Linked DNA regions of Drosophila melanogaster. The protein of the gene in region 2 purifies or fractionates together with the protein of the main gene of each other region. This does not show direct contact. Each region holds a gene or a part of one and is shown on either strand. Other genes may lie near its edges. The genes, in order: Elys, Bap60, polybromo and erm.

Region 1 (7,946 bases), 6.5 Mb from region 2:
GGCCGGTATCTGACTGGCCTGGTAGATGTAGCGCAGCGGCTCCTCGTTGAACAGCTGAAGCAACGGCTTTCGCTCCTTGGTCTGGCCCTTGCGGTTCGTGATCTGCGCCAGGCACTCGGCCGCATTGCATTGGAATGCTTTGTCGTTGAGCAGGATGCAGAGGAAGTGCATCAGTTTGCCATTGCTGGACATGATGTGCTGGATGCTGACCCACTCGACGAAGCCGCTCAGCGTGAGCAGTACCATCTCGACGACACGGCTGTGCGCGTTCGCCTTGGTGTAGTTGCACAGACGCGTTGTCTCGCGGAACGCAGTCACATGCTGCTCCACCAGGCGCAGGAAGAACTCGAAGATGTCGTTCATGTTGTTGTTTAGCGCCTGGTACATGTCCTTTCGCCGCTGATTCGACTCGATTGTCTGTAATAGGGCCACGTCCTCCACCAGTCGCAAGAAGACCAGAAGCACCAGCTCCGTTTGGGCCTCGCCCTTGGTGCAGGCCTGGCTTAGCTCCGGCAGCAGGTCGGACCACTGCTGCGGCCACTCGCGCTTGATCATCTCGACGATGATGCGCGACAGCGCGTCCTTCGTGGGCAGCAGCGAGCGGTCCTCCGCCGGGCCCACGCCCACGTTCAGCATCTTGATGGCATTGTCCTTAATGTACACCTTCTCCTCGTGCGTAATGCAATTCCATCGGTACTTGATTGTGTACTCGATCAGCTGCAGGCCAAAGTGTCGCACTTGCTGGTTAGACTGCGGCGAGCTGGCCAGGAATAGGCCCACCTGGGCGCACATTGGCGACTCCTCCTTAAACCGCTCACAGGCCATGTAGGCCTCCAGGCGCGCCTGTTGCTGTGTCATCGGGTTCATGACTAGATCGATGGCCGAGGCCAGTTCGGCGGCCAGAGCCTCGGTGCCTCCGTGCTGGGACATCGCTAGCTAGCGTCTACCTGTGGGTATTGCGTTAGATTGGAATTGAAACAAATTTCCTGGGTGCGGCTTCTTCCTGCAACGGGCGCCATGTGCTCCACTTACCTCTGCTTGCCCCTGCCCACCGCTCGAAACCCAAATCTCGCCTAGCCTCTCGATCTCCGCCGCGATCCCCTCGTGCGTTGTCTGTGACCAATGCTTTTGTGGAGCCAGCCAACCAGCCAGCGAGCCAGACAACGTTTTGGAAGATTAAAAGAGCTGCCGCTACCTGTGTGCGTGTGTGCTATGTGCTATGTGCTGTGTGTTGTGTGGTCTGTTCCGTGTGCGAAATGCGGAATGCGTGAGCTGGGATTGTGGTGTGTTGGTGTTCTGGTTGGGATTGCCTGTGGGCACCGATGATCGCCCTGGGTAGCGCCTATTGCCTGGAACACAGCCTCTGGTCAGGTCTCTCACATTTGAGTCGCATATAGAAGTAGACCACTACTGAAACCGCTTTTCCGGCTGGGTTGTTTTAGAACAATGTGCAGCAAATCGCACGGGACAGGGTTGACAAGCGGCGCACGAAAGTTGCCAGATAGTATTGTTGCTATTGTATGTACTAAGAGCTTGACTCGGAGCTATATATGCCTGAATTGAGTGATACAAGGCATTACGCTTCAAGGTTGCTACTATCTGTGTTCATTCGGACTTCAAATGCAAAGCCAGCCGGTTGAGTTCCTTATGAAATTCGCGCAATATTTTCGCAATTCTGCAGCGTTGCCAGTCTGCTGGTGTTGAAGTTGCCAGGCTGCAAGTGCCGGCTTCTAGTCTTTTCTTCAAATGATTGGCTTGCCTCTCAGTTACAAACTTGTTTAAGCATGTATATAGAAAAAATTGAAAATGTACAGAAATATATGGTAACTAGTAACTCAAGTCCTTGCCATCGCTAAATTTGCGAATCTCTGTCGGACGTTAGCCAGCACTGGGCCACTCAGCGTGCATACACGACAAGCAAAACAACGGTTTTTTTGTATGCCAAATCGAGGCGGCAACGCCAGGCCGCTCAGGCACTCACACACTCACGCACACACAAAACATACACGCCGATCAATCGGTGCAAGAGCGCTGTATTTATAATTTTATTTTTATTTGCAAGCGGCCGGCATTGATGAAATAGAGATGGAGTGGCACGAAGTGGAGTTGGACGGTAGCCGCACGATTGCGTTCCCGGAGCGCATAGTACCCGGATTTGGCCGGGAGCCGTCGGCACATTTGGACGCCGGTAAGTGTGCACAAAATACGGCGTGTGCCGAAACCGATTCACCAAGAATCTCCGCTATCCCTTTACAGCCGAATACCTGGGCGGCATCATACGCGACGGGCAATGGGGCTGGGTGACCTGGCGGTATGGAAGCGATGCCACTTTGCTGGTCTGCAGCATGTCCACCGGCGATTACCTTTCTTGGCACTGCTTCTGGAGCGAATCCGATGATCTGGGGCCGCGCAAAAGCATTCGCTGCGTGGAGGAGCTCTTCCCCGGCGAACACGAACGCCCCGCTATGCTAGCCATCTGCCTGGAGTCATGGAACAGCGGCGATCAGAGACCCATCGACTGCCCGTTGAGCACGCAGGTGCTCATCTATGCCATTCGCAACAGTCAGGTGCTCCGCCGCTTCGACCTTCACGGTATAACGTGCAGCGCGCTGACGTTCCTCGATAAAAGAATCTATGGACTCACGCGACTGAGACGGTTTAAAGGCTGTCTGGCCGTGGCCACCGAGGAAGGCACTGTGCTGTTGGTTGATCTGAACAGCGACAGCCTGCAGGCGAGTACCCAAAGGCGCAGCCTTTGCTCCCCCAGTTCCAAAGATGAGCCGTCGGACGGGAACCTATACTTTGTATCCTCCGAGGAGTCCAAGAGGCAACTCAGCTCCAAGCTGACCCATTGTCGCTCCAAAGGGGCTCACTTGGCTGTGCGGATGGACGGTGAGTCTGTCACTGCCAGTGTGCCATGGTAGCTAGGTTAACCTTCAATTTACCAACAGTGGCATCCATTGGAATCAGTTGCCTTATGGGCATTAGCATGGCGCCCGGCTATGCTGCTGGTCTAGAAGACGGCCGAATCCTGATCTACGACCTAATCAACTTCGACGTGACCACTGATCTGAATTCGCCAGTAAAAAGGAAAGGGGTCAATAGAGCAGTGAAGCGAATGTGCCTCATTATGCCACCGGATGACCCCAAACCCTGTTTCTACATCTGTGCATTGTACCAAAATATCGACGTCCTGCAAATGATGCTGCACTCGGTCTGCTACAGGGGCTCGTACCGGGACCGGGAAACCCACACGATCCGTTTTAAGGTGAGAAATCTTGAGCCGTCACGCACAGACCAATATTGACTTCTTGCTTCGCAGGACTACCGTTCTAGAACCGTGCGCAACCGCCAAATCTTGGACGGAGGCATCTGCTCCGTGATCGGCTGCGCCACGGCGTCTACTTTCAGTTTTGCCGGCGACAACGGAACGCTGCTGATTGTCATCTCGTGGCACTCAAGTGCAGATAAAAAGAACAAGCTAGTCCTGTTCGACATTAATCAGTGGTACAAGGATGAGATGCCCACATCCGTTCACAAAAACGAAGTTCCTAATTACATGTCCGGCTACATACTCAGTGGTCTACAGACGGGACTGGCATTGGATTTGCGTTCCACCACCATATTGCACTTTGTCTCACTGCAGCGCTACGATGAGCACTTTTATCCCAACTCACTAACCTTTGGTAAGTGACAGCGGTGATTGAAGCCAGCGCCAGTAAGATTAATAGCCAAGTAATACCGTCTATTTCCAGATTGCTCACTGTTAACTCCAACTGGCAAACGGTACTACGCCCAGGACGGAGTGCAGCATCGGTTTCTGAACGCACTTCGCTGTGATCGTGCCACGCTCTTTTTGCGTCCTCAGATCTACCACGAGGACATCGTTCGCCTGCGTCTCCTGCCACAATTTTGTGAGCTTAACCCTAACGCCACATTCTCTAAGGTGAGCTACACACTAGGTTATTATTATCAGTTATCCGGAAATCTTCTGGTATCATATAGTACCACAGTCTTTGGGGAAATGAATCATGCTCGTTATACTCGTTTTAAAGTAACATTGCATTATCTTGCTCTCTAGATTGCCATGTACGAGTTGATACTGTCGGTGGCCCTGGAGCACAACTGCGGAGCTTTGCTTAACGACTGCGCACGGAGTTGGATGGATGGCAGCTTCTTGTGCAACATGATTGATAACACGCAACTCTCCTTGTCCACGCTGACCAACTGGATCTTGAAGCGCGCCGGACAGATCAAGACGAGGTGCTCGGAACTTTGCCATGGCATCTTTGATTACGGCGGCTATCCACTGGACCAGCGGGAACGGCGCGAGTTTCAAGTGCTATCCGGTCAGCTGCGTGAATTGGTACGATTGCAGTCCTACATTGTCGAGCAGGGACGGCGCAGGCTAACCTCCTCAATTTTGGACGATTGCCGTGCCAACGAGAGGGCGCTGAAAACGGTTCTCGAGTACCAAAGAGTGCTGCTTTGGTTTATCGATCACGGCCTCCTGCCGGAGGGTCAGCACATGGATAATCTGGTACCCGGCGAGCAGGCCTTCGTTCGCCTGCAACACGAGTACTCGGAAAAACGAGCGCAGGGAAAGATCCTCTACATTGATTCTCTGGGAAAACGCGCCTCCTTTCCGGAACCCTATCCGCCGGACTCGCTGCATGCGTATATACACTTGATGCTCAGTCCCGACATAGAACTCTGTCACAAACATGCTCTTATCCTCTACCTGCTGATGGACCTGAACCAACAGCTGGTCGGGCGCTTTCAGATTGCCTTTCAGCTGGACAAAGATCTGGCCACGTCATTGCGCTGCTTCTGGTACTTGGACCACGGCGATTACGAGGTGAGTTCGGATCGGTTAATATAAGCGAAAGTGTTATATTCATTCGTTTTGTGATGTATTTGATTACAGCGAGGCGTAGAGGAGCTATACAAGGAGCCTGCCCCCGCTAAGAACTTGAAATCGTGGCAGATGCGGCTGTTAATAGATAAACTGCTGGCTGAAGGTGCCGTCAAGGCAGCCAAGAAGGTGGTCAGTCGACCACCCGGTCCATTGTCCTCGGCGCTGCACATGAAAGTGCTCCTAGCCAACGAAAACATAACGGAAGCATTCCAAATCGCTCGCCTCGACGACGACGAGGATGGACAGCCGCTGCTGGAGCGCTTCTTCCGCCACTGCATTGAAATCAGACGCTTCAAAGTTTTGGCCGAGCTGTACCTGCGAGAGCCAGAGGAACGGCTGTTGTACAGTCTACTGCGCCAGTGCAGATCGCGTCAGACGGATTGCGTGCAATTGATAATGCTGCTTCAAAAGAGCAAGTTCATCGAGGCCGTGTCCTTTATGGATGAGGTGGCCGCCGAGCGGGAGCGAGATGAATCATCCAATACAATACTCCCAGCATACAGCGCTACAATGGGACCAGTTACACAGAACATCGCCGGCACGTATCTTCGCATCAGAGACACCTTGGAGCCCTACCAAAAGACCGGTCCCTTGGAGCCATTCAGCTGCCAGCTGGTCAAACAGAACGCCAGCGGCCAATTGGGCGGCATCTTTCAGAGTTCTGCCGTCAGTGCCCACTGGGCAACGCAATGCGAGTCCCCTCCAAAGATGACTCCCGTTTCGATCCAATCAAAAATAGGCTACACCAATGTGCCATTCCTGCGGCACGCGCAATACGGACATTCGGAGCTTCCACTTCCTCGGCGCATAGTAAAGCCGGTACCACACCAGGTGGTGGAGAAACGACAGCGGGAGCTAGAGGATCAGCGTACCAATCTACAGGACCAGAGGCAGCTAGGCACGGAGCGTCCCAATAAGCGTCCTTGTCTGATGGTTGAACGAATGGTGGAGGATGTTAAAGACTATGTGAGATCCATTCGAGAAAAAAGTTCGAACCAAATGGAGCAGGAAGAGGTCAAGCAAAACGAGGCGACCAATCTATTGCAGCCGCCAAATTTCCTCCAGGCGCGACAGTCGACGACGATACGCCAGAGCAGCAGTTCGCCACAGCCGATTCCACCGATCCTGAAGGGAAGCGGGGCCGTGGATGCCGTTAAGAGAGCTCCGCCGGTGGCTACATTCACAGCGCTGGCGGGGCCAAAAAGATTTCGCTTTGTGCCGCCCATTCCTCTGCGAACTGATAAATCTGATAAATCGACGGAGATGGGCAGCGAAGGTGCGGCTGAGGGTGAGGAGGAAACTGACGAGATCATTGTGGAGATCGAGTCAAGAAGCGAACCAAGGAGCGCCTGCAGCTATGAGTCCGACGAGGAGGATGAGTTCCTCTCGCCTTTAGTATCGGCCAATGTGTCTTTGGTGGATCCGGTACCATCGCGGAATTCTCCTCATTATTTCGCCCCACCAGCAGGACCACAGCCCCGAAACTCATTGCTACATGGGGGAAATGGAAGCGGTAGCAAGATTGGTACTGCAACAGGGAGCGAGAGTAGTAGTGGATTCGGTAGCTTCAGCACTGTCCAGCCGGCTCAGACGTCATCACATTCCCAGTTTGTGCCCACCGTCTGCTCGTCCAAGATGGGCGAGACGCAGTCACAGGTCTTCTCCAGCGGCAGCTGTGGGATTAAGATTTCCGAGCGCACTACCATCTGTGGCGAAATGGAATCCACCGATCTTGGTGCAGAATTGACGGCCGCACCCAGCGCACAGTGGTCTCTGCCATCAGCAAGGCCGGCTATACAGGGGCACCACCAGATGATGGACACCACGCTGGGAATGTCCACTTACGATGTGGCGTCACTTGAGCAGCAAGATACTCAGGATGTGGAGAACGAAGAGGAACTGAAGCTGGGTGACACAAAATCGCTTGAGGAGCAACAGAATCCACAGGACGAGCAGAAGCCGGAGCAAGAGCAGGATCAGGATGAGGATCAGGCGCAGGAGCCTTTGGCGACCGGTGGTCAGCTGGCGTTCCTAAGCAACTCAGAAGGAACGGCCCAGGAGCCCCTCTCCTCGCCCATCTACAGCCTCAGTAGCGAAGACTCGAACGTGTCCTCGGCCGGCATTCGGAATCCCATGCTGCCAACACTGCACACCGATGACCCAATGTACTCCATCGTTGTTGAGTCGCCGGGCTCCATAACCACATCCCGATCGGTTACGCACACGCCCACCTCATTCCTGCCCAGCGACACGAACGTATCACAGACATCTAGTCCGCAGGCACCTCATGGCGAGGATGGAGATGGCACGCCGATCTCATTGTACCGCGCCAATAGTCTGGAAACGGTTGACGACCTGGACACCACCAAGGGCTCGCTGGAGGAAGAGGAGGAGTACGACGATGATGATTGCGTCATAGCGCTGGATGGAACAGAAGTGCGCGGCTATGTCGCCCGACCCCAGCAATCGGCGGCCTCCAGCAGTGCGGAGCTGTTCGCCTTCAAGGACGAATGTCAGGAGGAGGCGGCTGGTGTCCCCAGTCCATTCCTTTCGCTGGGCGCCACGGTCAACAGCGACTCGGATGTGGCCGACACCATTGTCCTAGATAGCGATGAGGAGACGGCGAAGGAAAAGGATACTCAGCCGGAGCAGCGAAAGGATTGGCCAATGGAGGAGGAGACCCCGAGCAACGAGTCAGTGGCCACAGTTGAGTTTAGCGAGCAAAAGCAGCCACGTGCCGATATGGATATCGGGATGGAAGTGGATGCGGTGCCGGACGTGCTGGAGGTGCTGGAGGTGCCGGAGATGGAACCCTTGCCAGTACTTTCCGATGTGGATATCGAGATGGCGGTGGATGAGGTGCCGAACGTGCTGGAGGTGCTGGAGGTGCCGGAGTTGGAACCCTTGCCAGCAGGGCAAGCAACGCAGTCTAGTGGTCTTGGGGAAATTCCAGAAGAGGATGTCGACGCAGAAGCCGAAGAGCAGGTCGTTGTGAAGGTCGAACATGTGGCGGATGAGCAGCCCAAAG
Region 2 (4,551 bases):
CGGCTTTCTATGCGTTGCCCTGAGGTTCAGTGGCTACATCGAGATCCGCCTGGACGTGATAGGGTCCCTCGTTCACATAGGCCGTGAAACGGATGGTTTCGGTGGGCGAAAACTCAGCGCTAGCGGACAGAATCTCCATAATTTGCCACTTCATATACTTAATGTCCCTGTGCAGATCCTTTTGACGCGAAAGAAGGAACTCCACAGCACCGCCGGTATTCTTTAGAGCTACAATGCCCCAGTTGTACTTACAAATGGTTTTCAAGAACGACAAGGCGGCCATTTGAAGATCGGGGAACGGAGTGTTTATCAGGTCCATAATGATATTAGCATGCGCTCCCCCAGCGAAGCACTCGTACCAGTTTTTACCAATGTTACTGAAAAAGAAGAGAATCATTAGAAGAAAAACTTCAATTATAGAGTTAAGCATTACATGATTTCTGTGGCAGGCGGCGTCTTGAAGTCATAAATCACATCCAGGGAGTTGAGCAGCCTCTTCTTGATGTGCGCCGATAGCTTCTTAGTATGCGAGCCATACTTCTTAAAGGACTTCTCCATGGCCCCGCTAAAGTGCATGTTCAGCAGTATCTTGCCCTGTGGAGTAGTGGCCAAATTGGCAAGCGTATCCATGGCAGTGGGCAGAATACTCTCATCCTCCGATTGAAGCTGCATGAACAAGCAGGCCAGCATGTGCGGGTAGCCGCCAATGATTTTCAGAGGCTGGTATACGGAAATTTTGCCGAAAAACTTCATAATGCTGGGAACGAGCAGGGCGTCTAGCGGATGCTCTTCGACGCGTTGGACCCGATAGCTGATTATATCCAAAACGCGACGACGTTCCATGTAGGACAGACCATGGTTTTGTTCGGCCAGTGGCACTAGGAGCTCCATTACGCTAGCCTGCAATAAAACATCGTCGTTATCCAGTTCGCTGAGAGCCGCATCCAGAATAAATGTAACGTCACTGAGTAAGGTGGCACTTTTCTTGGCCAGGACCACTGCCAATTCGTAGGCGCGACAGCGCACGATCTCATTTTGCTTTAGGAGCTGTACTAGCTTTGCCTGCACATCGGCATTGCTGATTCGCTGAGGCAGCACGATGGATAGGATATTGATGGCCAGAGAGGTACTCTGCGTATCCGGTTGTTTCAGCTCGTCCAAGATGAGGAAAATAAGCTCATTGTTGGGCAGGGTGAGAACCTGACCGACGGTCAACTGGCGAAGCAGCTTCTTGAACAAACTGGCCAACACCTGGGCACGCAAGGCTGGATTCGAGTGGGTCAAGCCACGTCTTAGCAGACTGGACAGCTGCTCGTCGGCGGTGTCCATCGCCAGCTGATCAAGGCAGTGGCACAGCAATTCCAGGGTCACGTCCACGGCCTGATCCTTGGGAACATGGGAATCCGCGGCGGGATTGGCGCAGTCATACAATTGGTCCGTGGTCAGCAGGCGTTCAATTATTTGACGCGGAAGAGCCGCCTCCTTTGCGATGGCTGAGTTCATGGCGGTCAGCGCATCCAGCCTTTGTGGCTTCGACTCCAGAGCCTTTAACTTGGTGACCCACCAATTGTCTTCCATTTCCATTTGTTTTCTGTGTTAAAATGACAGTCGGTTTCAAACCTATCGTTCTTCGATTTCAGAAGACGTTACTTGTCCGAACTTATTGGCGACTATCGATATTGCTTATGTTTATGGCTTGACACTGCAACTATCGAGCGTTTGGGCAAACCAATGTTTTCGATCGATAGTAGCAAGTGCTAGTATATTCCTTATCGTATTGTTTGTTTGTTACAAATGTCTTGAAAGTTTTTAAGTATATTTTCAAAGCCAACTATATAGCTGTAACTCTATTGAAATGAATAACTTCGATTAAAGTGCAAAATGATAGCCGCAGCCCTGCCAAACGTTGTAATATCTATCGCCCAGTCGACCACCACCAGTAATAGTGCATCCCTGTTTTGACGCCATTTTACAGGCGAAATTGTGTGTGTGTTTGACGCGTTGTTGTATTGAAACAAAAAGGCAGAAATTTTCCTTCGTCTGCAAAGGGCAATTGTTTACGGCTGGAAAAAAGGGAGGACTTCGTAGCAAAGATGTCGCAACGCTTTGCACCTGGCCAAGCGCCGGTGCAGTCGCGTTATCAGCCACCACCACCGGCGCCCGGCATGCGTCCCTATCCGCCGCCAGGCGCCTCTTTTCCAGTGAGTTTTCCACGCATTATCCAGCACCTACCGTTTCAATTAAGCATGTACAATCTTATCCGCAACAGCCGCGCGGGTTTCCCCTGCATCCGAACACTACTCAACCTGTTCCCGGCACGGCGAACGTGGCCGGGGTACCGGGAGTTCCTGGAGTACCCGGCGTACCGGGACCATCGCTACTGCAGCGCGCCGCCCAACAGCCGGGCTTTCAGAGCAGCCTTCGCGGTACTGGAGCCGGAGGTGGCGGTGTTGGATCCGGCGGAGGCAGCAAGAGGTCAAATGAATCCCGCAGTTTGGGTGGCGGTGGTAGCAAAAGTGATTTTGCGACGGCCAAAAAGAAAAAGAAGCTGGCCGAAAAGATACTGCCGCAGAAGGTGCGGGATCTGGTGCCCGAATCGCAAGCGTACATGGATCTGCTGACGTTTGAGCGAAAACTGGATGCCACCATAATGCGCAAACGTCTGGACATCCAGGAGGCCCTCAAGCGCCCCATGAAGCAGAAGCGCAAGCTGCGCATCTTCATCTCGAACACATTCTATCCCAGCAAGGAGCCCACAAATGATGGCGAGGAGGGCGCCGTTGCCTCTTGGGAATTGCGGGTGGAGGGTCGCCTGTTAGAGGATGGCAAGGGCGATCCCAATACAAAGATCAAACGCAAGTTTTCGTCGTTTTTCAAGTCGCTGGTTATCGAGCTGGATAAGGAACTGTACGGTCCGGACAACCATCTGGTCGAGTGGCATCGCACTCACACCACCCAGGAGACGGACGGGTTCCAGGTGAAGCGGCCGGGCGATCGCAATGTGCGCTGCACCATCCTCCTGCTGCTTGACTACCAGCCGCTGCAGTTCAAGCTGGACCCGCGACTCGCCAGGTTGCTGGGCGTACACACACAGACCAGGCCGGTGATCATATCCGCCCTGTGGCAGTACATCAAGACGCACAAGCTACAGGATGCCCACGAGCGGGAGTACATCAATTGCGACAAGTATCTGGAGCAGATATTCAGTTGCCAGCGGATGAAGTTTGCCGAGATACCGCAACGCCTCAATCCGCTGCTGCATCCGCCCGATCCGATTGTGATCAATCATTTCATTGAGAGCGGTGCAGAGAACAAGCAGACTGCCTGCTACGACATCGATGTGGAGGTGGATGATACGCTCAAAAACCAGATGAACAGCTTCCTGATGAGCACTGCGAGCCAACAGGAGATCCAGGGGCTGGACACCAAGATCCACGAGACGGTGGACACGATCAACCAGATGAAGACGAACAGGGAGTTCTTCCTAAGCTTCGCCAAGGATCCACAAATGTTTATTCATCGCTGGATCATCAGTGAGACGAGGGATTTGAAGGTTAGTTCTTTTTTTTTCTTTTTTGCCTCATACCGTTGTCTAAACCTTTCGTCCTTTCAGCTGATGACCGATGTAGCTGGCAATCCGGAGGAGGAGCGTCGGGCGGAGTTCTATTACCAGCCATGGACGCACGAGGCCGTTTCGCGCTACTTCTTCACCAAGGTCAACCAGAAGCGGGCCGAATTGGAGCAGGCGCTGGGCATACGCAACGGCTAGGTGAATGATGAGCTGATCATCTCCACCAGCCAATTCGTGGAGTCCACCGTCAAGAGACCTCCATAAACCGTGCGCACGGCAAACTCTTTTTCCTTCGCCAGTTTAGTTTAAGCTTAAAATATTTCCTTTTTTTCCGACAAGCCGAACTCCATCCCGTTCCAAAACGAAAATCCCCTTTGCAGTTGTCCCAAATACCCACATCCAGCACAAATATTGGACTTAACTGTAAGCTAATAAAATGGCATACAAATATAAAACTGTCTATAAAATTTGATTCGGTTCACTTTTAGAAACACTAAAGTTTAATTTTTATTACGAGTGATTTCAGTTGACTTTATATATATTTAGCCTTTTGATACTTTTGGGTTCCCTTTAAATTTTAGAAAATGCATTTGTTGGTTAATTGAGATTTTAGAATCACTTGTAGCCTTACGATCCTATACGATTTCATGTTAACTGATTGTTTCTAAAATACGTTTTGATCTACATTTGGATATATTATTGTAGGGTTTTAGCTGACCAATCTAACAATGTGAAAGGCCAGCGTTTGAGTCATCTCACAATATTTCATAATTTATACTTTAAAATTATGTGTTTTAGTAAGTTCCATAGTTCTGCAATCCTTTGATGCTGTTGATTTAAAATTGTATAAAACGCATTTTCAGTTGATGCTTCTTAACTTAACGATTTACGCACAAGCTTTAAACGGTTTAGACTACAACACAGGATTAATATCACTAGTAAACTAAAGACGGACTCGGATTACTACGTCTCGGGCTAGA
Region 3 (7,692 bases), on a different chromosome or scaffold from region 2:
CTCTAACGCCTTCTCCATGTCCTTGAAGCCAAATTTCGAATCTCCCTCTGCCATTGCTGCTCCTTTGGTTGCTAATACTTGGGTGAGTATCTGTCTGCTTCCTGTCAGCGCTAGAATACGACTGATTTTGCGTAGCCGTCTCCAACTCGACGGCATATGGCACTTAATCATGGGAGGAAGACGCAAAATGAGCACCACTGAGAGGCACTGATCAGAGCTGAGCGTGGCCAATTAGATAAGCACCACAAAATAACTGGGTGACTCTATGTTTGGAAACCGGTTTGTTGTCGTAGCACCGGAGCAAAACAAAACCCACGAGAAAATAATCGATACTTAGCCATGACGTCAGCGCCACGAGAAACTGATAACATTGAGAGGAAATAAACGATCTTAAGTATTAATTACCTAATTAAACGCCGCTCTGCATATTAAAGCATGTAATATGACATTGCTGTCGTTATATTTGCAATCATATTTATTATGATATATTTTCCCCAATCAATACGAAAATTGTTATAATTTGTTTGTGTTGTTTATTAACATGGAACTCAAAAAGCTTTGGGCTTAGCGGTGAACGATGGGCTAGTTGCAACTGCGCCGTATTTGAAGTATATCGTCGACCATGAAGTTGCGCAGGTGGCACAGTGCCTGCACCACGTTGCCCTGGTCGCGCAGATTCGGTCCGATCCACTTCTCGGGTAGCGCCGTCTTGGCCACCACCTGTGCGGGTGTGATGTGGGTCAGTGCACGCCGCCAATTGTTGTTGCAGGTGACCACGTTCAGATGGCTGCCCGTCTGCAGGCTCTCGATGTACTTAATGTAGGCCTCCGAGTGGATGACGCGAGTGGTGCGCGGCGGCACTGTGACGAAGAGCGGCTCTGGTGGCGGACCCAAGACGATCGTTTGCTGTTGCTGCAGTTGGTGCATGTTCTGCTGCGGATGCTGCTGCTGCTGGAGCTGCACTGCCTCGAGATTGCTTGGAGCGCGCGGCGATTGCGCAAGGCTGGGCGGGATGGGCACAGTAGTGGCCAGTTGCGCATGCTTCTGCCGACGCGGCACGAAATTCTTGCTGCGGTCTGCCGCCGAAATCGTCTTGCCACACTTGCTCAGATGGACCTCGCGCACATGCTTGATGAGGCGCAGAACGTTAGGAAAGGCCTGAACAGACTTCTTGACCCGCGGGCAGTTGCGCCACAGGCAGACATACTCCGTCTCCACGCCCGCTTGTGGATGGCGCTGGATGTGTCCGGTGCTATCGGACATGCAATGTTCCGTGCAGTCGCTAAGCTCCTCGAACTGAAAGTCGCACTTATCCCACTGACACTCAAAGGTGAGCACCTGTCCAAAGACATCCTGCGAAACTTGGGATGAGGGACTCGCACTGTTCTGGACGTCGTCCAACTCGCGCCGTAGGGCCGCCGTCTCCTCATTCTGTCGGCTAGCCCTATCCTCCCAGCTCTGCTTAACGCTGGAGGGCAGATTCTTCCATTCGGTGCCCACCATGCGGGATATGTCTCCAAAGGTTGCGTCCGGGTTGCTCTGGCAAATGCCTGTAAAAGAAAGTTCAACGGTTATACATGATCTTTAAAGTATACTAAATAAACGTACTTTTTCGAACTTCACTAGAGTACAAAATGTAACCGGTAAGACATTTTTTGGCCGATTTGGCGGCCTTAACTTTGGACGTCAGTGGCGTGGAGTTTACTGAAGGAGCCGGCGAGGACATGGCCGCAATGTCTGAGCTCAGCGAGGGTGTATCCCCATCCATTGAATCCTCTAGCATGCCCAGTTCATTCAATTCGTTCTTAAAGTCCTTGGAGGGCTTAATGGGAGTCTTAAAGTAAAAGATCTCATCCTCGGTGACAGAAGGACTGTGTTGGAACTTGCGCATGTTGCCCGTAACCAACTTGCGAAGAGCTTTCTTTAGCTCATCATAGACGGACTCACAAATGTACACATCGCTTTCGGATATCTCCGTGGGTCGGGAGCTGATAAATTCGGAGTACTCCAGGACGGCGCAACGACCCACGATGCCCACCACCGGACTGACCTCTTCGACTGTGCTCAGCAGCAGTTCCTGGCGATAAAATTGCTTGCCCAAGCCGGGGGTCGTCTCGCTGGGTGGTAACAGCCATGGACCTTTAAAGTATGATTTTCCATTCTGCTCCCAAATCTGCTGGACCTGTGCCACCGACTGCTTTCCTGTTTGGGTGGCCACGTAAACAAAGTCTCCCGTTTTTATGGCCCCACTGCAAATGGTGTTGTACTGCTGGTAGTACGTGCTGCCAACCTCAGCATTTGGCGGCGGATCGCAAGACACATTTGGTTTCTCCTTTTCGACCAGCGTCTCTTGGAGCTTCAGCTCCTCCAGTTCTCCTTTGTGCTTTTCCAAACGCTCCTTAAACACAGACATCACACGTTTTAACTCCAATGGCTGCTCTCGTGGAACGAACTTCACCGAGCTGCCTTCACGGACTGGCGGCCAGCTCTTCAGCTTCTTGAACCAGCGACCTTGGATATTGTAACGAGACTCGCAAACGTAAACATCCTTTTCAGGCAAGTTTTCCGGACGCATCTTGATGTAATCCTTTATGTTCATTACGTAGCACATGCCCTGCACTTTATCCATCGAGATGGTCTGCGAAAGGCTGCTCTTGAACACTTCCTTTTCGAGGAACTTGCGAGTGGTTACATGGTACGTTTCGTGGGGCCGTACAAAGATCGAAGCCTGCATCAGCTTCTCATTGGTGGGTGATGTCCAGAGGCGCTCTATGCAGCATATCGAGGGAATCTTGTTTTCCGGCATTTGCACGTATACGTAATCGCCGGGAGAAAACACCTGCTGGTTTATTGTCATGCTTTCACCCTTGGCTGCATTGAATTCATCCTTCTCCTTATCCTGCTCTTGGTCCTGTTCCTCTTGTTGCATTTTTTGCTGGCGACACAGCTCCACATCAGCCATAAGGCGTTCTAGACTAAAATTTAAAGCGGATGAGCTAAGTGTGTCCTTGCATAACTCGTCTCTCTTGCGAATGAAGTATGTTTGCAACTCGATGGAGTCCTGGAAAAGTTTGTTCTTAGAATAGTACAATGCTTCTATTATTGTAGTTATTACTCACCTGAAAAATATCCGAATCTGTGCGGGACAACTTTCTTGCACGTTCCAAACAGGCAAAAATATCTTCCTGGTAAACATCAAGCCGTTTGTAAGCTCCTTTGTCAAGCCTTCGTTTTACAAGGTCCAGCGAAATGCCGCGAACCTTGGGTCCTTCGCCAATCTCATCGTACTCCGGCAGTTCGGCCAGGGAATCCGAGTAGCAACGTCCCTCCTCGTCCTGGTGATTGTAAATAGTCGTGAACAGTGTGAGGAACAGCTCCTGAACAGCCAAAGGAACATCCGGAAGAGAATCGCGCTCGGTGCGCAGTTGTTGCTTCAGCTGCAGTGTCAATTGTTGTAGCACGAGCGCATCCTTGTAGATCTGCGAGTCTGGCTCGTTATACTTGCAGGCGTTCTCCAGCATCAGCAGAAAGTCCGCTGCCAAGTCATCTAAGGTATCATAAGCGCCCTGTTTAAGTTTCTGAGCGATTCGGTCCATGTCAATAGGTTCCCTGATAATGTCGTAGTAGTCCGGATACTCGCTCTTGGATGGCAACTTCGTAAATATAAGCGACAGCTGCCTCTTACCCTTGGGCTCCTGGTACTCCTTTACTGTTTCATAGAATTGCCACAGCCGCTCTGTAATTACAGCGGTCTTTAACTTTCTTCCCACCTTGCTGTACTTCTGCTGGCTTTTTTTGCCCTCTGTAAGACCAGGGAACTCCTTGAGCTTTTCATTTAGAGCTCGTTCCAATATATTGGCATCCTCGTATATGTTAGAGCCCTCCTCATTATACTGTCGGCAGTTGGAAAACATAAGTCGATAGTCGGATACCACGTCCTCCACGGCGGCATAGCGATCTGTGCGAATGTTATGCTCGATAGTGTTCATGTCAATGGGGTTTTGAATGATATCGTAGTAGTCCGGATAAATCTTGCGAGGCGGCTTTTCCATAAACATTTCGATGGGACGACGATTGCCCAAGGAGTAGTCCACCAAATATTTCTGTATGCTCAGAATCTTCTTTTTAATAGCCGCGTTGATGGCAATGCGATTTGATTTGGGTGAATTCGAGTTATTTGGTGTATGGGAGGCGTTAGAGTTCGAATTGGAGTTGATGCGGGGTCTGCCCGGCTTGCGCTTTTCCGGCTGCGTGCTAACCGTAAATACCTCTGTGTCCATTTCCTCTGCATCCTCGTCATCCAGATCACTGCCCTCCTCGAGAGACTCCTCCACCAGCTTGGCATTCATTAGCTTTAACATTTTCAGCGCATCCTTGTGAGTGCGATGGGACGTCGGAAACGCCTTTTTGGCGTTGTCCAGCATGAGATATAGATCGGCGGTGAGATCACTAATGTTCGCATAATCGCCCTTTTTGAGCTTTGTGTGGATTTGGCTCATAGATATGGGTCGTTTGATCAGCTCAAAATATTCGGGATGGAAACGACGAACTGGCAGTTTCCATAGAGAGTTTCCCAATGGAGGACCAGTAACTCCCGGATGTTCCGAAGTTCCTGGTGCGTTGTACAAGTGATCGAACAATGCCCACATGGGCCCCTCGCCCTTTTTGCTGGTCTCCTCGTCGTCCGAGCTGTCAACCTCCTCTTTTAGTGCTGGAAAAAGAATAATTTATATACAAAAAAGAAAAAAAAATGTTTTTTTTAATCTTACCAGCAATTGCTGCACTGGAGAGACTCTTGACGCGCTTAGCCAGCTTGCCTTTGCCCATCTCCAGCTCAATACGCCGCTGCGTAAAGATCCGTTTCAGGGATTTGGCGTCCTTATAGATCTGAGAACCAGGCTCGTTGAACAGACATGCGTTTTTGGTCATTTGTAGCAGATCCCGTTCCATCTCCGCCAGCGAGGAGTAAGCGTTCATTTGTATTTTGGTCGCAATCAGGCGCAGATCAATGGGATGCTCAATGACATCGTAGTAGTCTGGATAGATTTTCTTGGAGGGCAGCAGTTGGAACATGCGGTGCATTAACCGATCGCCCACGGGATCGGTAGCGGTCATAACGGAGGCGAAGAGCTCCTCGTACTGGTTGTACTCGTCATCAGTTGCTCCATCGCCACCAGGTTCAGTGCTGCTGGTCATTCGGCGCACTTGGCGCGACATGCGTCTGGCACGCGGCTCCTCCTCCGCCAATCCATTTGCCTCCATAATGCGCTGTCTCTGCGAATGAATGTGCTGCCACAGAGAGACTGCGTCCTGGTGCTCGCTACTGCCCGGTATGTAGAAGGCCTTGGCATTGCCAATAAGCAGCTCCAGGTCGGCCATCAGATCATCCAAATCGTCGTAGGAATCGGTTTTCAGCTTCTGCTGAACCTTGAGCAGATCAATGGGATTGACCACCACGTCATAGTACGAGGGCTCTTGCCGGCGCTTCGGCACGCGGATGAAGGTGTCGCACAGCATTGAACCGTCCTCCTTCTTTATGTTCCTTATGGAATCGTACAATTGCTGGCACAGTTCTGTGGGATCGAGACGGCGCTTTTTTCGCGCCGATTGTGTCGTCGTCTGCTGCACCGGTGACTGCTCCGGCGTCGAGTCGTCCAGCTGCAGCGGATCCTCGTCCTGCCGGCTGGATATGCTGCTCGCCCGGCGCTTGCGGCTCAGCATCGTGTTATCCCTGTTCTTATTACAGTTAAAATCTAAATATCCGATAATAAGACGCCACACAAAATGCCACAAATTCTGGGAATGAGCGAAAAAGTAGTGGTGGGCGAAAGGTTCGATAGTGCGCGGTCGATATATAGTTCGATAGCCGGCCACTTGCGTGGTGAGTTATCGTAATCGAAGCGCGCGGTGGTGAATATTATTTTAAATGGTATGTTCCCACCAAAAATCATATTTCTTAACCAAATAAACAAGCTGAACATCATTTTACTTAAGTTCTTTATTATAGCATCCCTAAAGCATCATTTAAAGTTTTAATTAAGTCATTGAATCACAGCAATATCGTAGGTAGTTTTCCTTAAATTAGCTCCTTCTCGAAAAAAGGCATTCAAGCCAATAGAAACAACGAAGTTAGGCTGAAAAAAAAGTTAAACAGAACAATATTTAATTTAAAAGTCAGCAAAACGCAAGCGCGCAATTAAAAAGCCATGATATTTCGATTAATTTAGTAAAATGCTTTGTTTATTATTATTTTTTATCACATAAGTTTTAGACGCTTGTTAGTGTGTGATTGTGTGAATATTGGGTTACAGATTTGAGTATGCCGTAAAATGAAATGAACACGCCTCATCGTTTCGCTGCTTAAGGAACATTGTTAAAATCTTATAAAAATAACTGAAATATACGTGGATAAATAGCGAAAAACATGTATGAAATGGAATTCACTCTGAACGACAAGAAACGAAATTCTAAACTACGCCTACTGCAAATTGACTGCGGCTTATGTTGCACAATTACATCTTCTATTTACATGCTAGTTATTGGCGAGATTTCTGCGAATATCATGGTACACGAGTGCCATTGTTCTGTGTTTACTGGCACCACAGTGATATGCTGGTGCACTGTGAGGACTCTGTCTGTATAAAGTACAACAATTAAGCACAACAGTTAACATTGCAAAATTTAAATATTAGTATCAGTTCTGCACAACTATACGTGATCATATAACATATGTAAAGGTATATTATATAGTTTCAGCTGCCCATCTCCCATGTTTTTCTCGTGTCTTAACAGTTCATTTCGTTTGCCTTGCGACTAGCGGTGGTATTGCGACTGCTCTTACGACTAAGGTTACGATACTTGGTATAGAAACTTGTTAGGCTCTTTAGCGGCGACTCGACAAGGCGCCTCACCTCCTGTCGGTTTATACAAAACGCATTGTCGTGTCGCTTGCGCCAATATCAGTTGATGAAGCTAATGTAGTTAGTAAAGAGCACATAGTTCTCCACTAACCGGGCTCTTAGCTCCCGGCGCACCGTAGCCGTGAATTTGTTTGCCAAGCACAGGGCAGTTGTGGTTCCAAAAACCAAATTGTAAAGCAATACAATCTGGAAGTTTCCCAACCACTCGATGGCTCCAAAATCACCCAGCAGGTCAAAGTTTGTGATGCCTGTAAGAATCAATAATAGTCGCTTTTAAACACTGTATTATTCATTAGTAATTTGCCACAGCCTACCTATGATCCTGCTGAGAAGCGGCAATGCCGACGACAAAACCAGCATGAAGCCACAGTTCAGCATTAGCTGTGGCAGCGAAGTCTGGCGCCGCTTGGGACAAACCTTGCGCATGAACGGCATGCTGTAGAAGCCCACCACCGAGGTGGCGCCGAGATAGAAGATGAGACACACCTCCAGGCCGGCACCAAAGGGACCCAACTTCGAGAGCGAAGAGATGCCCAATGCGAATTGCTAAATAAGGGAAACAAACTCAATAAGCATTCGTCTTACGATCCCTGCAGTTAGACCTACCCTTGTGCTTAGTGGCAGCGCCTTAATGCCAATAAGGAGCTCTAGTGTATTCTGCACAACCAGCAGAATGGTGACAGCTGTGCAGAAGAGCAGCAGCAGCATGGCCAGCGGATAGACGAATGTGCGTTGGAAGGTGCTCGATGTGCGCAGCTTGTCTAGTTCCTTG
Region 4 (6,623 bases), on a different chromosome or scaffold from region 2:
CCCTCGTTGCTGCCTTTTTTCACTGCGTTTATTTATTCAACTAAATGCAGATTGCACATTTCAGTATGTGCCGTTCATTTAGCTTCCAGTTAATCACGCTGTTTTGCCCGCTTTTTGTCAAGGATAATCACCGGATTGTTTTTGCTTCGTCGAACGTATGCTTACTAAAATATTGGAATTATTCACACAATATTGAAGCTTGTTAAATTAGGCAGTAGAAGACACCTATAATAGTATTACGAATTTCCATGAATTTTCATGTTAAAGTAGATTTACCCGTCGGCATCTCAAAGGAATCAAACAAATAGTTTACAAATATTGTACAATAGTTTTTATGGTTGCCACATTCAACCCATCCAATCAACATTACTCCAATGAGGAAACCTAATCAACAAAGAGCTGATATTTGCATATCGATTTCCCCACACAAGAGCCGCACAACAAGCCAGATTAACGGAAAATGCAGTCGAAATGGCGGCCATAGTCCTTGAAGGATCCACTAAAACCCCCACGCTCCCCGTCGGACTCGCCGAAGAGTTGTGCTTTTGTGTGGCCTTGCAGCTGCAATTGCTGAACTGCTCAACTCCAGCAAAAGCAGCCATGTGCCCTGCATTGCCCAAGAAAAGGTCCTGGACCGTGGTCCTGCAAACGGATGGAGTTGGTGGAGCAGGACGACAAGCACTGCCAGAGCAAACAAAGTCAAGAAAGCCGCGCTGGAGATGCCATCAAAATGAATATGGGATTATATTTAACTAGTGCTGGCTGGCGATGCAGGGGGCTTCAAATCAAACAAATGAGAAAGGTGCACCTAGAGAACAGGGAAGCTAAAGAATAATATAAAGTTATCTAACCAATTTTATACAATTTACAATCTTTAAAAATTGGCGATTGATGCTTATCCTGCGACTAACATTCCTACATAGAATAGGGATTACTGATTGGATTACGGGTGAATTATTTTCTCTGTATATAGCAAAAAAAGATGAAGAATTGGAGAGAATCAAAGAATCCTTGCCCGCTGGCGGGCTAAAGGTGAGCAAACAAAGACGCTGATAAAACGAAATGCCAAAACGACAATTGAAACGCCCAACAAAAGGCATGAGCTTTCCAGGAGGGGGATGCGCTGGGAACGGGGAACGGGGAAAGGGGTGGGCCAGTGAAAAAGTCAACTCGAGAGGCATCCACGAGGCCGGTGGCTGCCATTTCTTGGTGTCTGGTGTCGCCCCATCCAAATCAAGTGTGAACGGAATACGGCCAAAGGTGGCCCATCCATCCATCCATCCATCCATCTCTCCGTCCGTCCATCGGTCTCTTTCCAGCAGCCGAGTGCTACGCATAGTGCGCTCCCTCTTTTGCGGAACCTCCTCCATCTCGTCACTCCTCTATGTATCATCTTCCTGGGCTCTTGAGCTCTATCTCTATATAAATATTTTAGGGGCGGTCTCTGCTCACTGCCTCTCTCTTTCGCCGTAATATTCCAATTCGACATTTTGTCTTTTCATTCATAATGCAGTCGCAGTCGACGGCGACGTCGGCGTCAGGACATATCCTCCAATCTGAACGTGATGATTAAGTTCTCCTTTTGCCCGTCGCTCCCATCAATCCATCTCGCTCTGTCGCTCGACCAGGACGTCTGCATCCATCTCTCTCTCTCCCTCGGCATGCATTTCATCTCTCACTCTCGCCAACGGCGGCAGCACGCAGGACTCTCGGGGGTTGTTTCGCCAGGATTCACCCCAGCACTCGCCGTGTGTCCTTTTCATATTTCTTAAGGCCCGCACCGTTCGCTGTTTGCCTTCATTCCGCTTCGGTCGCTGATCCTGTGCTGAACGCGTCCTGTTCCTCGCGTCCCTCGATTTGCATTTAAAAAGCGTATATCCTTATCGACGAAACAAGTGAACTTTAAATAGTAAAGTAAAAGGACCAAGTTCAATTTGTGTGTGCCAACTGTTGTGTTTTGCCTCTAACAAGTGGAGATCGGCCGCCTGCCAAGGGAACTGGATATCCACATAGGCAGTGCCTGAATATGGTTTACTTTGTACGTATTCGATACATAAAAACTTAATTTATTACTCTGTAATTGCAAAACTCCGACGGGAAAAGGAAAAAACTATAAAGTACAAGTTCGCTTTTTCATATTAGAAGCATTTCGAAGCTATTTGCGTGACGTTCGTAAGAAAAGCAGGCATTTACATAGGTCTATGTCCTCTTTAGATAGTATTTCGTCTTGTATCTTTACCATCATTCTTAACACTTATGATTTTGATTAACCCCATCAAAAGCCAGCTTCATCTCATAACTTCTAACATGTGCTAGGGCATAGCCACTTGTTCAACTCAAGACAAAGTTTCCAAGTGCCTGTGTGCTCCGTTGATTGAATATTATTCCACGCACTTGGTTAATAAGCTCGATGTGGTTCGCACTCCCCAAGTGGCGTTCGTAGAGGCAAATTTTGAAGTGGCCACTAGAACACCAACATAATTCGGCTGCTTAAAAGTGGAACTACTCGTTCGTAGTAGTAGTAGTTTGGCACCCGGGAAACTTTGGGATCGAGGGCTGACCGCCGCTGCCTCCGGGTCAGCGTGTGAAATGGTTGCCGCCTCTCGTTTAATGAGATTAAAGCGCACTTTGGAAGGGAAACTGCAAGATGGGCGAACTGCGGACCCAGATGGGAGCTGGGCCTGCTGAGGCGTCAAATCAAGTTAATTAAAAGCGGCAAGGAAGTCGGTAATCGCACCGGATGTCGCACATTAGCCACACTCGAGGGCACATGGGGAAGATGGAGCCGGCGAGGCGGCGAGGCGGCCTTACACCTCCAGTCGAGTGTAAGCGATTTAATGAATCTCACATAAAGCCAAGACCCGCGCCAAAAAATTCGCATACTGCTTACTGGGCCTGTGTTATGATTGATGGCAATATGCTGGCGAAAGGATTGAGGTCTTTGTTTGGGTTAAGTGGAGTGTAAGCCAGGGCAAAGCACGGGTTAAATGCAAATAGCGTGGTATGCAAAATCGATCGGGTAATATTATGGAACGCACTGCGGTTTGCGTTTAATTGCAACCCGCTGGCTGGCCCTGAATTATCCTGCGGAAATGTCCTGCCGCTGGGAGCACGCCCTCCGCTGGCGTTTGTTTGTGCTCCCGAATTGCCAACGCATTAGTTGCACTTGACTGATCAGGCGGTAAATAGTCCGTACAGCTGCGGTCAAAACAATAGGGACCACTTGAAATCCGAGCAACTTGGGAATAGGTGTTGTTATTATATTCATAATTATAAACCGAAATATATGCTTTACATATATGCTTTTGAAGGCAAGAAGTTTTTAGAAAGGTATGGGAACCAGAAATGTTATTTATCCTAGTTATTTCCCCCCAACTGTGGCCACAAACAATGGAGGCGTATGCCTTCGATTAATTGATAACCCGTTGCTTAGTTTGCATACTCAATTTGGCTCTTTGTTCGTTTCTTACAGAGTCCGCGTGGCATGCAACCGTGTAGTCCAGCGGGAGAAATCGCAATGATGCCGCCTTCGAAGAGCCCCGTGATGGAGAGCGCCGCCTCCGAACAGAATCCTGCCCAGCAGAGCCAGCAGCAGGACGAGCAGAGCGCCAAGCGGGCGTGTCCCCTAAAGTTTTCGATAGCCAAGATCATGGAGCCGGATCACAGGCCCAGCCAAGTGCCACCGCCGCAGCCCGCTCCGGTTTCCTTCGCCACCAACGATGACGACGAGGATGAGGATCCGGAGATCGATGCCGACTCGGAGCGCTCCTGCAGCCCCATCGAGGTGATCAGCCTGGATCAGTCGCCATCCACTGTCAACTATGACTCCGCTTTCAAGAAGTATGTGCCGGGTCCGTGTTCGGGCGCCACTTCATCGGTGGCCTCGCCGCCGAGCACCGCTGCTGTGCAGCAGTTTGTGAGCTCCCGCCACCAGGAGCTGCTCTCGCAGTATCCCCTGCTGTACTATGCACCCAATCAGCTGATGTGCGCCGCTGCTGCCGCCCAATATGCAGCCCTTACCGCCCAACAGCAATCGCTGGCCAGCGCCGCCCACCTGAGCAGCTTCACCGCATCCCTGAATGCCAGCTTGCATCACTCGCAGTCGCTGAGAAGAAATCTGGGTCATCCACTGGCCGCGGCAGCTGCCGTGGCGGCAGTGGCCCAATCCCAGGCGGTGCCCAATTTGCAACATACCCTGGAAAAGTCGCCAGTGGCCCAGAGAACAGCCCAGAGTTCGGGATTGCAAGCTAACTTGAAGAGGAAACGATCGCCGCAGGATCAGGGCGAAGTGACGCCGCCTCCAGCGTCTACTGCCACTTCCGCCACTGGAGCCAGATCCCGCTCCCCCTCGCCGCAAGGATCCATCGAGGACAGCAGTCCCGGATCGGCCAGTGGCGGCAAGCCCAAGACCTTCTCCTGCCTGGAATGTGGCAAGGTGTTCAACGCCCACTACAACCTCACCCGCCACATGCCCGTCCACACCGGAGCCAGGCCGTTTGTTTGCAAGGTCTGCGGCAAGGGATTCCGCCAGGCTTCGACTCTCTGCCGGCACAAGATCATCCACACGTCGGAAAAGCCGCACAAGTGCCAGACCTGCGGCAAGGCCTTCAATCGCTCCTCCACCCTCAACACCCACTCGCGCATCCACGCCGGCTACAAGCCCTTCGTGTGCGAGTACTGCGGCAAGGGGTTCCACCAGAAGGGCAACTACAAGAACCACAAGCTGACCCACAGCGGCGAAAAGGCCTACAAGTGCAACATCTGCAACAAGGCCTTCCACCAGGTCTACAACCTCACCTTCCACATGCACACGCACAACGACAAGAAGCCCTACACCTGCCGCGTCTGCGCCAAGGGATTCTGCCGGAACTTCGATCTGAAGAAGCACATGCGGAAGCTGCACGAGATCGGCGGCGATCTGGATGACCTGGACATGCCACCCACCTACGACAGGCGGCGCGAGTACACGCGCAGGGAGCCACTTGCCTCCGGTTACGGCCAGGCATCGGGTCAACTCACGCCGGACTCCAGTTCCGGCAGCATGTCGCCGCCCATCAATGTCACCACACCGCCACTTTCCAGCGGCGAGACGAGTAATCCCGCCTGGCCCAGGTCCGCCGTTTCGCAGTATCCGCCCGGTGGCTTCCATCACCAGCTCGGAGTGGCTCCACCTCACGATTATCCCAGTGGCTCCGCCTTCTTGCAACTCCAGCCGCAGCAGCCACATCCGCAAAGCCAGCAACACCATCAGCAGCAGCAAAGACTCTCGGAGACCTTCATAGCCAAGGTGTTTTGACAGCGATACTATGCGGAAAGCTTGAACAGCTCCACGGGGTCGACCTCGACGACCAGCTCCACGGTGACCACCACCACCACGGCCATATCCTCGATGGCCACCTCCAGGAGCGATCTGCTGATCGACTGACTGCAGTTTGTGGCAGCGGCGGCCGCTGCGAGCAGCTCGAATTCCGGGCAGGATACCGGCGAATCCCCGTCCCCGGAGCTCGGATGCACTGCTCTGGGCAGTGCTGTCCGCGCACTGAACGGTCTCTTCTAGGCAGAAGGACCCCTGTCCACCTCCACCCACCCCGCAGAACCTCAGCAGCCACCAAATGGTTTCAACTTGTGCAATACCCCACTCAGAAGATGATGATGACGATGATGATCCCAACGCTCAGCCCACATCTCCAAGCAGCATTTTGTACATAGCGTATCCCTAAGAAGTCTCACAGAACACTCTACTTAAGCAGCTCTCTCGATGTATAGATGTAGTTAAAGGATTTACCTAGTTAGTCGCCAATACCGAAAGCCCTGAGTTCCGTGTAGACACGCTACACAGATCCTCCAGGACACGTTTCGATATAGAAAAAGGTGTTTTTAACATTGCGTTACAGCTTTTTGGGGTCTGTCAACCGATATACATAGATGGAAATGTATCTTAGAGTTGCACTAGATATCCGTACGTACTCTATCCCTAAGTGTCTGTGTAACCCAACGCAAATTAATGAAATTGAGAAACATTTTAACAAAGATCCATGAATGCATTGTATTTGTTTAGGTCTTAAGTGATATTATTGATACTGTTTAAGCAATAAACCAATTCTTCAATTATTAAACGAAAATGGTGTTTAGATATGCTGGGAAAGCGTATATAATCTTCATATGCACATATGCAAATAACTGAGCAACAGTGTGGGGTGTCATTGAGTCGAGTGGAGGGATCCTAAATAATGCAAATGGATGCGAAATGAAAACAATTATTGCTGCATTACTCGGGCCCAAGAGTCGCGTTTAATGGGCTCTAAACTGTCGCCACGTCTGCCGCATGACATTTGCAACTTAATTAGTGCCGACCAGCCCCCACTTTTTCACCTTCCACTCGGGAAAACTCCGCAGGTGGCCTGGGCCTGCCACACGCCTCAATCATTTGCATAGCACTTTGATCTGTGGCTCGAGAAAAGTCAGGAATACCGGCGTGGAAATGGGTCTGGAGCAGGAAGGTTGAAGTTCTTGAGCCCGCTCATAAAAATGCAACAGAAGCATCCTTATTAGTCAGGCGGCTCAATTAATAAGGCACGGTGGAAGTGTATGAAAAATATATGAACACATATAACCTTAGTAAT

What was found.
Region 1: the proteins of Bap60 (region 2) and Elys purify together in Drosophila melanogaster (affinity purification with western blotting, with the first as the bait; one study listed by BioGRID). This does not show direct contact.
Region 3: the proteins of Bap60 (region 2) and polybromo purify together in Drosophila melanogaster (affinity purification with western blotting; 2 studies listed by BioGRID, with this or other methods). This does not show direct contact.
Region 4: the proteins of Bap60 (region 2) and erm purify together in Drosophila melanogaster (affinity purification with western blotting; one study listed by BioGRID). This does not show direct contact.

Annotation. Positions count from the first base shown.
Region 1 is NC_004354.4:19,650,371-19,658,316, forward strand, and holds the start of Elys (elys), read left to right. Parts: upstream 1-1,934; 5' UTR 1,935-2,085; coding exon 2,086-2,188; intron 2,189-2,256; coding exon 2,257-2,892; intron 2,893-2,951; coding exon 2,952-3,268; intron 3,269-3,322; coding exon 3,323-3,686; intron 3,687-3,755; coding exon 3,756-3,946; intron 3,947-4,081; coding exon 4,082-4,858; intron 4,859-4,927; coding exon 4,928-7,946. Other genes in the region: Ranbp21, read right to left, coding at 1-930.
Region 2 is NC_004354.4:13,156,916-13,161,466, reverse strand, and holds Bap60 (brahma associated protein 60kD), read left to right. Parts: upstream 1-1,958; 5' UTR 1,959-2,093; coding exon 2,094-2,201; intron 2,202-2,269; coding exon 2,270-3,553; intron 3,554-3,613; coding exon 3,614-3,769; 3' UTR 3,770-4,022; downstream 4,023-4,551. Other genes in the region: CG12096 (uncharacterized protein), read right to left, coding at 8-377, 434-1,584. UniProt on the Drosophila melanogaster protein: Involved in the recruitment and site-specific anchoring of the Brahma complex at specific promoter sites.
Region 3 is NT_033777.3:24,799,452-24,807,143, forward strand, and holds polybromo (polybromo), read right to left. Parts: upstream 5,809-7,692; 5' UTR 5,722-5,808; coding exon 4,770-5,721; intron 4,712-4,769; coding exon 3,120-4,711; intron 3,062-3,119; coding exon 1,609-3,061; intron 1,551-1,608; coding exon 583-1,550; 3' UTR 516-582; downstream 1-515. Other genes in the region: Ude (Uracil-DNA degrading factor), read right to left, coding at 1-54; lili (lilipod), read right to left, coding at 6,960-7,168, 7,235-7,466, 7,527-7,692.
Region 4 is NT_033779.5:1,949,729-1,956,351, reverse strand, and holds erm (earmuff), read left to right. Parts: upstream 1-1,798; 5' UTR 1,799-2,026; coding exon 2,027-2,038; intron 2,039-3,472; coding exon 3,473-5,296; coding exon of another isoform or gene 5,297-5,557; 3' UTR 5,558-6,113; downstream 6,114-6,623.